Rattus norvegicus: one gene and its partners. The protein of the gene in region 3 interacts with the protein of the main gene of each other region in a pairwise test. Links are inferred from orthologs where the notes say so. Each region holds a gene or a part of one and is shown on either strand. Other genes may lie near its edges. The genes, in order: Cluap1, Atrip and Cinp.

Region 1 (3,652 bases), on a different chromosome or scaffold from region 3:
TTGTATCTGTGACTATGTGTAACTACGTATCTGTGTGTGTGTGTGTGTGTGTGTGTCCCCACTCCCTGGGTTGGTATTTTGTAACCAGGGAATGGCCCAAGTGAAGGTTAATAGCTCAAAGTGATGGACCAGGGCCCAGTCCTAACCCAGCGGGCTGGACACAGACCCTATGACCTCTGTCTGTCCGAGACATTGTTCTCTCCACTTTTGCCTGCTTCCATGGACAGAAACACGCACTTTTCATGACAAGAATGGTACTCGTTCCTGTCCTCATGCCCTCCTTCCACTCCTGTCACTGAAAATACTTGGTTAATAAGTTACAGTGGGGGAGGGTTTGTTGGTTGCCCTCGTGCGTGGTTTGTGTGATGCTGCTTTACACAAAGTGTTAAGCAGCTCTGTGCTCAGAGGCAGGCGACAGCCGTCCCTGGCACCTCAGCTCACTGTTCCCTGCTCACTGTAGGCACAGGTTCAGAAGACTAAAGACCTGCTCAACAATGTGGCGTCTGACGAAGCCAATTTAGAAGCCAAAATTGAAAAGAGAAAATTGGAGCTGGAAAGAAATCGGAAGCGATTGCAGACCCTGCAGAGTGTCAGGTAGAGTGACTAGAAAGTTAAGACATCAAAAAGCAGAGTCCACATGCCACAGTTTCTTTGCTGCCTGTCCTAAAGCAGACCGCTGCGCGCTCTCACTCCATACTGCTTTTAATGTCTTCAACGTGGCTGGACACACACCATAAGGGCAAGTTCTCCAGCACTGCCTTGCCTGGTTCACCCAGTGCCACAGCTGGCAAGGGGCAGAGCCAGCTCTCCTGCCCTTGGGACGGCTCACCTGAACCGGCGTCACCAGGGCCAGCTCTACTGTGCAGGACCCACCCTCCCAAGTACAATTTAATTTTTATTAAAAATATACATTCCTGGTTGGATGTAATGATATACACTTTTAATACCAGTACTCGGAAGACAGAGGTAGACAGATCTTTGTGAGTTCAAGGCCAGCTTGGCCTACATAGTGAGTTCCAGACTAAGTCAGGGCTACATAGTAAAACTCTGTCTCAAAAAAATACACATACACACTCATTCCTATCTGTACCTATATCTAGGGACTTAGCATGATGGCACACATATGAAACCCAGCACTCAGGAGGCTGATCAGGAATTCACCAAGGACAGTCTAGGCTACATTAGACCCTACTAAAAACCTGGGAAGATGCAGGTTACATCCAATGCATGTAGTTGGTAATGTATACATAATTTTTTACTTTATTCTCCTGTTTTCAGGGGGTTTTTTTTCTAGCTTTTTATATTGGTTAAAGATATTTTTTTTAAAAAAAGATAATTATGTTCACTTTTTGCCCCATCTACTGCGAGAATGAAGACCATTCTCAGCAGTCAGACTGTTGATGTCACCCTGAAGGGGCGCACAGCCATTGTGAAAGGTCCCAGGGGAACTCTGCGGAGGGACTTCAATCACGTCAATGTAGAGCTGAGTCTCCTTGGAAAGAAGAAGCTCTGGGTTGACAAATGGTGGGGTAACAGGAAGGAACTGGCCACTGTCAGAACCATGTGCAGTCATGTTCAGAACATGATCAAGGGTGTAATGCTGGGTGTCCATTACAAGATGAGGTCTGTGGATGCTCCCTTCCCATGAATGTCGTTATTCAGGAGAGCGGGTCTGTGGTTGAAATCTGAAATTCCTTGGATGAGAAATACATTCACAGGATTCAGATGAGGACAGGTATTGCCTGTTCTGTCTCTCAAGCCCAGAAGGATGAACTAATCCTTGAAGAAAAGGATTGGCTCTGATTCAGCAAGCCACAACAGTTAGAAACAGTATCAGGAAGTTTTGGGATGGCATCCGTGTGTCTGGGAAGGGAACTGTGCAGCAGGCTGATGAGTGAGACCTCAGTTTCCCAGCTCCAGAAACAAGATCCTGATCACAAGTGGGATCTGGGCTCTTTGGCGACAATAAAAGACTTATATATTTAAAAAAAAAAAAACCTGTTCATTTGATGGGTAGAGAGGGGTAAATATGAATTGTTTTTAAGCAGTTTTCAGGTACATGATGCAAGTTGGGAGTCTTAAATACAAATTTCAAACTACTGTGGAGTGACTGCTTTCACTCTTCTTTCCTTTGCTCATCTTAGGCCAGCCTTTATGGATGAGTATGAGAAGGTTGAGGAAGAGCTGCAAAAGCAGTATGACGTCTACCTGGAGAAGTTCCGGAACCTGGCTTACCTGGAGCAGCAGCTTGAGGACCATCACAGGATGGAGCAGGAACGGTTTGAAGTAAGTGCTTGGGCTGCTCACCCGTGCCAAGGTGACAGGAGAGCCGCTGTGTGCTCAGCATGTGCATGGGCTGCGGGGACCTGAGCTGCGGGGCTCACCTTGAGCAGCAAGCACTCGATGTCTGAGGCACCTCCCCAGATCCTCAGTGTGGTCTGGGCAGTAATCAGGGCTGTTTCCTGTGTATTTTAGGGGATGAGAGGGCCAGTGTCTGTGTCACCCAGACCAGCCTCTAGCTTCAGCCTCCACGTGCAGGGACTATAAGATATATACTGCCATACCCAGCTTAGTCAGGGCTCCGTTTGCCAACACACCTGACATACTACCTCCTCCTGTCCTACACCAGGAAGTGTGACCAGGATTTCCTCATTATCTTACCATCCTGGCTTCTCTGTAAGCATCTCCAGTATGAGTGGTGAAGCCATATGGCAGAAACATGGACATACTTTTGCTTTTTTTGGTTGTGAGCAGGAGAGCTGTGGCTTTCTGCACCAGACACATTTCCTGTGTCCACTGTCCTCGCAGCACACACGGTGGCTTCTCTTGTGTCCCTCATTTCCTTTAGAGTGGTGGAAATGGGAGGAAGGCACGGAGCCAGAGCATCAAATGTCAGGGTCACTCCCACAGGCTGCTTGGTAGACAGCAGAGGAAGAGCACAGGTTTAGGGACCTCATAGGTTGCTCAAACAAACTCTTTTGATTTTTTTTTTTTTTAGATTCAATTGATAAGATATAATTGCCCATCTAAACATACAAAGCCCAGTACCATCCATCCCTTAAGAACATTGATAACCTGTAAATACACAGAGCGGAATCTTTACATCAGCCTCCATTGTCCTGCCACAGCTTCTCGGCCTCCCTCCTCCTCCCTTCCTCTCTCTTCGTTCCAGTCTCCTCCTTCAAACTCTTCTCCCGCCCATCCTTCCTTCTCATCCAATGACAGGCCTCCTTCTATCTTATGCCTGCCTCACCTGTGACATCATCTCACATTTCACCCCTTTTGTCTAATTAAAAAAAAAAAACACAACTTTTCTCTCAAATATAAGCTGAGCACAACTATTATCATTTTGTAATTAAGAGCATAAAATATATCTAACACCCAATCCATCACTATATCAGTTAAACAGAACATTTAGTTATCCGTTCCAGCTTAAGAAAGGCTTAAAATCTATATTATATCTTGGCTAGCTATACTATCTGATAACTATCTAATAAAATATGAATATTCAGAGTTAAACAGCCTGATAGGCTATGAGACTATAATCAGTCTTCAACCCTGTCAGAAATCTGGGAATGACCAAATATCTATACACATAGGAAGCCTAACACGGCTTCCGGAACTGAGAGGTTGTAGAGACAAATCTCCACTA
Region 2 (2,420 bases), on a different chromosome or scaffold from region 3:
TACAGTCAACTTGAACCCATGCCACACTGCAGTAAGTGTCCTTTTGGAGAGTGTCATAACTGTGACCATTCTCTAGGTTCTCCTTCGTGTTCCCGATGTTGCCACAGTGCCTCTGCTCAGAGCTGCCACTGTCGTGTGTGCTGCTGGCTGTCGAGCTGCTCTCTGTTCTGGTGGACCAGGACAGCCTAGCACAGCAGCTGTGCTCCCACTCAGGTAAAGCAGGGCAGGGCGGCTCTCAACTGTCCTGCAGTGAGAGGGAAGGACTGGGGCAGGTTCAGAGCCCCTCAAGGGCTTCTGTACTTGTACCCCAGGCTACAATGAAAAGGGGGACCCTGAGTGAGGTCTGGAATCCTTTTCAGAAGGCTGCCTTCTCCTGAGGCTGTACATGTACATTACATCAAGGCCTGACAAAACGGCCTCAGAGACACAGTGGCTTCAGCTGGAACAAGAGGTAAGACTCTCAGACTCTGCTCACCCTTCACCCTTCAGGAGCCCAGGGCCTCCTCTCCACTTGTGGGAAAATAGGAGCTACAATTCATTTTGGTCAGTGTGTCAAACAGCAGAGGGTAACATTTAGGGGTTCCTCACACAGATGCAATACAAGTGCATCCTGGGTTGCAGTGGTGCTCAGCAGAGTTGCCTGATCATGCTGCCTGGGGCTTGGGGCCTGATCCTGGTCCTGGAAGCAGTGAGCTGTTGGTGAGATTCAGGTCTGAGAGCCTGAGGCTACCACTACTTGTACCCCACCTGTGCAGGCAAGCAGTTGTTGAAGTAGCTAGAGCACCTTAGGAATGCCCGCAGAAGCCTATGATAACTGGGTTCCACACAGGGTGAACACCATGTCTTCTTGTTCCAGGTAGTGTGGCTCTTGGCCAAGCTGAGTGTGCAGAGCCCTTCCCCCGCTGGCATTGTTTCTGACTGTCAGTGCAATGTAGAGGTGAGTGGCCGGAGGCTAACATCATGGCGGCTCAGTTGGTGAAGGGCAGTCCTGCTTCCCTTGAAGTGTCGAGGTGAGCAAGACCTCAGTCTGTGCCCTCTCTTCCCCTAGGCAGTCAGAGCACTCACTGTGATGTTGCACAGGCAATGGCTGACTGTGCGGCGGGCAGGGGGTCCAAGGACCCACCAGCAGAAGCAGACGGTCCGCTGTCTGCGGGACACTGTGCTGCTGCTGCACAGCCTATCTCAGAAGGACAAGCTCTTTACTGTGCACTGTGTCGAGGTCCTGCATCAGTACGACCAGGTGATGCCAGGGGTCAGCATGCTGATTCGAGCCCTTCCTGATGTGACTGACTGTGAAGGTAAGCTATCAAGAGACTGTCACAGCCTTCATATGCCTCTGCCTGAGGCTGATGAAAAAGTCAGACTCCTTTGCTGGTCTCCTTTCCTTCCCTGAGTCTGCCCTTGCCACCAGAGCCATTCCTGGCACTGCAGACATGGCCTTCCTGCTCTAGGTCTGAGTATGATAGGTTCCCATTTGATTATGTCTATTGAATCGGCCTAGCTGAGCCATGGTTTTTCCACAAAGATCTGTCCCGATTGCTTTTGTATCACTTTTGCTCACAGTAGCTGAGGGAGCAAAGCCTACACATGGAAGGGACTGGTTAGTTCCTGTGCCTCTAGGGAGGATGGGTAGGCCTCCAGGCCCCAGCACCATCAAGTTAATCTCAGAACCCTCTTCCTTTTGGCTCAGAGGCTGCCCTGGATGACCTCTGTGCTGCAGAGACAGATTTGGAAGACGCCGAGATGGACTGTAGCTGAGGGCCTGAGCATCCAGCCACAAGGTGGCACTAGCCCCACCGTCTTTGCCACATCCACTGATTAAAACTGCACTTCCTGCTGAGAACCGGCTTTGTTTCCTGAGTCTTGATTTGTGGGGCTGAGAGGGAGGGACAGAGCAGACTAGGAACTGCTGGATTAGGTGACTCTCCTGCTGGAGTTGAGATGGTCCTGATCAGCCCTGAGGAAAAACCCTGCCCCTCTTCCGGAATTACCCTGAGTCATAGCTTTGGGCCAGGTCCATGGGAGAACAAACTTGTGTAGCTGACAGGAAGGCCTGGATCAAGGCCTGGGGGAAAGGAAAGGAAAGGAAAGGCAGAGACTCACGGGCTTGTTTGAATCCTAGAGACAACCTAGGGAGTTGTCATTGTGGGAGCAGCAGTGATAGTCTACTTTGTTAGCCGGCAGGATCACAGATATGGATCTAGGAAGGCCTTTGGGGTGCTTGGGGAGGGAGGGAGGAGCTTTAGCACGAGGGCCAGGCCTGGCCGGCTAGCTAGCAGGGCGGGCCCTGTTCAGAAGGCAGGCCTCTGGGTGGACCCAGGCAGTTTTACTTCCTGAGCCAGTGCTGCCAGCCACAGAATCAGCGGAGTGCCTTGTTGCCTGCTTATCGGTAAGTGTGGGGGGCCTCTAGGGTATGGGGT
Region 3 (4,155 bases):
TGCTCTGCTATTCCAGCATGGGCCACGCTGACTGTTCGTGAGTGTGTGTGTGTGTGTGTGTGTGTCTGCTAACACAGTATTCTTTAGGGCTCTTCTGTTTTTTGGTTTGCTTTGATGGTATTGGGGATTGAGCCTAGGTCCCTGTGCATGCTCCACTGGGCTACATCCCCAGCCCATCCATATACTGTGGGACGATCTCATAAAGTTGCTCTGGCGGGTGGGACCTATTTTACAGCCAAGACAGACTGTGAACTTTCTTCCTGCCTCAGCCTCTGAGGTAGCTTGGGTTGCAGGCTGTGCAACCACACCCAGCCAATAGCTCTGCTTGATCTTTTTCATTCATCCTTTACTAAAACAACTAACAGATACCAGTTGGTTACCTTCAACATGTCAGGCATGGGGGATGAAGTGAGTGAATGAGAACCGGCAATTTGACCACGGCACTTACACTCCCAAAAGAGTCAAAAAGTATACAAGTAAATTACTTTAACCAGTCCAGACCCTAAGCACCATGTAAAAAGGGAACAGAAACCCAGGTGTCCGGGAAAGGCTTTAATCCTAGTGTTCAAGAGAGCCAAGAGATCAAGGCCAGCCAACCACTGTGAGTTCTGGGCTTCAGTTAAAACTGTCTTTGACCATGAACTTGGTGAGTACAAGAAACAGGACAAAGCTGAACAGGTAAGTGGCAAACAAGGGCTCACAGAGCTGGAGCCACACAGGCCACTGCAAGCACAGCAGAGAGCAGGCAGTGACCTGGAGTGGCACCGGGATTCGATCTCCTGTCTCATGGTCTACCTCACTACCAAATGAGTGAACGCACTTGGTTCCCTGCAACCTGAGAATGGAAGGGAGTCCTGGGGGAAGACATCTAAGTGGAGCTAGGGTGGAGATGGGGGGGGAAGGGTCAAAGAGGGACACCCGAAGTGCCATAAAGAAACCTACCTTGTAAGCTAATTAAAATAAATAAATGGTGTAAATATTTTGTGTTCTACCCTCCTATAGGAAGGCCGAGACAGTGACTTGGACAGAGGGAATTGTTAAAAACTTCGGACGCTAGAGAGTAATAACAGAATTCTGGTCATTTTCATTTCAATCTTGAATGTTAAAATCGCCTCACTCGAAAGAAAGAAAACCTCTAAGGAAAAAAAAAATTCTCTGGGTTTTTAGTGGAATATTCCATATGGGGCAGAGTTTATTTTTAAAGGGTTGTTTGTGTGTGTGTGTGTGAATGTGTGGGAGTGATGCCAAGGCCAGAAGGGTGACTGACGTCCTGGAGCTAGAGTTGTAGGTGTTTGTGAGCCGCTCAGTGTGGGTGTGGGGACCAAACTCCACTGCGCTAGAAGAGCAGCAAGTGCTCGGGACTGCTGCCACATCTCCAGCTCTGGATTTCATTTTCTGTATTTTAACGTCACCTTCATTAGGAGACTAGAATATTTCGAGACTTGTTTCTTCTGACCCCAAAATTTCAATGCAACCAGAGAATTTATAGATAAAATTCTGTTTGTATATAACTGTTAACGTATCTGTAGTTTGCAATAGATATATTTGTAATAGTTAAATGCAAAAAAAAGAAACAAAGAAAGAAAGTCTCTGTCCTGGTTACTTTTGCTGTCAGCTTGGTATACCAGGGAAGAGAGCCACCATTTAACAATTGTCTGTGGGGATGTCTGTGTGTTAAATGACGTTCAAGAGCCTGACTCACGGTGGTGGTGCCACCCTTGGGGAAGTGGTCCTGGGCTGTCTAAGAAACTATCTGAGGGGCTGGAGCTGGCTCAGAAGACCCAGCACCCACAAAGAAGCTCACAACCAGCCGTGATCCTTACTCCAGCGGATACCATGTCCACTTGTGGCCTCTGTGGACACTGAACACACATGATACGTTTACATAAATGCTGGCATTAACACTCATACACATAAAAGAAAATCGTAGGAGAAAGCAAACTCGGGAGGTAGTGGAAGGGAAGGAGCCTCCTTCATGGTTCCTGCCGATTTCCCACACTGATGGATTATGACCTGGAAGGGTAAGACAGATAAAATCTTTCCCTCCCAAGATGCTTTTTGGGGACAGTATTTTGACCATAGTAACAGGAAGCAACTTGAACAGTTATTTACTTCAAGAAGTCTTCCTGGATCCCCCAGTTGCATTACGTGTCACTGCAGTAGACATGTTACCTCCTATTGGTCAGCTGTCATCACATTCACTAGTGAGTCTATATTCCCCGCAGGGCTGAGCTCACCCAGAGTAGGGGTTATGTCTCATCCCCTCCCATATCTTGCATACATAGTAGATTTTGAATCTAACGCGTTACATGGAGGAACTGCTCTTACTTCCTGTATTACATTCGTCCTTCGGGGGGGATTCTTAAGGGTGAGGAGCACATCTGACTTAGTTTGCTGGACCCACTTAGGAATCAAAAGCACAGTTCTGACTTCTAGACACTCAGAGGCAAATAGGGAAATATCAGTGAGTCCCAGACCAGCTCTGAGAGAGGCACAGCAGAGGTTTTTAAGCTTGTAAACTAAATGGGACTCAACGAGACCACAGCCATAGGCTAACGTACTGACCCATGCGACACTAATCGACACAGAGACAGCCTTTATCACAAAGTGCAAGCTCCACGGCCGGTCTCACTGACTGCGGGAGTTCGGGGAAGGGTTTCCAGAGGGGTTGGCAGGTCAGGCTTGGCTCCAATGTGCTCCGGGATGCTCTGAGCCTCACACCGCTGACACTTCACCACATTCAGATGACTGACACACCGGAAGGAACAAGGCTCCCGGCAGCCCGCGAGATCCAGGCGCACCCCACACGACACGACACGGGCTCGTTACCTTTCCCCACAAGACCTGTAGCCTCCCCAGCCAGGGAAGCATAGCCCTCTCACGCACCTTCCATGCGGTCCACAGGTAGATACCGAGATGACCAGAAGCCCCGCCCACGGACTAAGGAAGTGATGTCACTTCCGCGGGCCCGCCGACACTTGTAGCTCTGCCGCTCTAGCTCTCCGGCGGAGTCACGGCTCGTCTCTGAGGCCTAACCCGTTGCCTAGGCAACAGGCTCCCGGCAGCCCCTGCGGCCGGGAGTCCATCCCGCCTCCTCCGGGTTGGCGGGGCTGAGGAGTCCTGAGGGGCTGCCGCGGGAGGTGAGTTCGGGAGCGTGCTGGTGGGTGCTGGACGCCTCCGACGTCCCGACGCCGCCCCTCGCCTTTCCGCCCCCTGGCAGGGCCGCCTTTCCTTGTCTCAGCCCCTCAGAGTCTCCACAGCCGTGTTGCCGTCCCCCTGGCAGCCACCGCACGCGGCGCGTCTGTCAGCCCGCGTCTGTGCAGAGCACCGGGCGCCGCAGCGTTCGCACACCGCCCGGGGCCGCCACGGCGCCCCAGCTCCCCTCGCTCCTCCCCTCCTGCCCCACCCTGCATCCCTCTCGCGGCGGGCTCCAGGCTCCTCAGCCTTAAGATTGACATTGCGTTCTGTTCTGTTCCCGGATCCTCAGCTGTATCCCTTACATTCGCCCACCAACGCCAAGCAGCTGGCTTGGGCACCCAGTAGGAGTTGAGTAAGTGTTGGTTAAATGGATACCGAATGCCTCCCTGTGTGGTCTCCGAGGCCGAGTGGACAGTGAGGGTTAAAGAATGGGGTGACCCTGGGGTCAGACTCGGGGTCAGGTCACTGTGCTTCCCCTTCCTACTCGTCTACTGGAGCAAGTGTCAACTTCTAGCTTCAGCTTCGTCATCCGTAAAATGATAAGTTTTTATCTTGGGATAGTGGAGGATTAAATGGGTCAGTGCACGCACAGCCAGGGTCAATAAGGGTTAGTCCTTGCTGTCACCCACCCGGCTCTGTGGGCTTTGCTGGTTTTTCGTTTAGTCCCTTAAGTCTCTGGCTTCCCATTACTTTTGTTTTCCTTCTCAACTTTACTTCTCTTTCCTGCCCCTTGTGCTTCCTTTCTTTCTCACCGATATTCAGTAATTTTCTGTTCCATTTGTTGGCAGCATGGAAGGTGTATTGATTTGTCATTGACTGGAATGATCATTTGCAGCCAAGGTTTTAAAAACTTTCTGGAGCAGGGAGTTGTGGGAAACTCAGGTCCTAGGTGTGAACTCAGGAATTCAAATTTGCTCTAGTTCCTTATCACCGGGAGCGTCCTTGTCTTCGAAGCTG

What was found.
Region 1: the proteins of Cinp (region 3) and Cluap1 interact in binary tests that used the Homo sapiens proteins (3 or more experiments, as listed by UniProt). The two-hybrid records come from large-scale screens. The link is inferred for Rattus norvegicus from reciprocal best matches to the Homo sapiens genes CINP and CLUAP1.
Region 2: the proteins of Cinp (region 3) and Atrip interact in binary tests that used the Homo sapiens proteins (3 or more experiments, as listed by UniProt). The link is inferred for Rattus norvegicus from reciprocal best matches to the Homo sapiens genes CINP and ATRIP.

What each region holds. Positions count from the first base shown.
Region 1 is NC_086028.1:12,107,761-12,111,412, reverse strand, and holds part of Cluap1 (clusterin-associated protein 1), read left to right. Parts: intron 1-460; coding exon 461-594; intron 595-2,144; coding exon 2,145-2,286; intron 2,287-3,652. UniProt on the Homo sapiens protein: Required for cilia biogenesis. Appears to function within the multiple intraflagellar transport complex B (IFT-B). Key regulator of hedgehog signaling.
Region 2 is NC_086026.1:118,586,334-118,588,753, reverse strand, and holds the end of Atrip (ATR-interacting protein), read left to right. Parts: intron 1-76; coding exon 77-213; intron 214-311; coding exon of another isoform or gene 312-340; exon of another isoform or gene 341-359; coding exon 360-451; coding exon of another isoform or gene 452-577; exon of another isoform or gene 578-592; coding exon of another isoform or gene 593-703; exon of another isoform or gene 704-856; coding exon 857-937; intron 938-1,048; coding exon 1,049-1,298; intron 1,299-1,690; coding exon 1,691-1,758; 3' UTR 1,759-1,845; downstream 1,846-2,420. UniProt on the Homo sapiens protein: Required for checkpoint signaling after DNA damage. Required for ATR expression, possibly by stabilizing the protein.
Region 3 is NC_086024.1:135,717,763-135,721,917, forward strand, and holds the start of Cinp (cyclin-dependent kinase 2-interacting protein), read right to left. Parts: upstream 2,928-4,155; 5' UTR 2,894-2,927; coding exon 2,887-2,893; intron 1-2,886. UniProt on the Homo sapiens protein: Component of the DNA replication complex, which interacts with two kinases, CDK2 and CDC7, thereby providing a functional and physical link between CDK2 and CDC7 during firing of the origins of replication.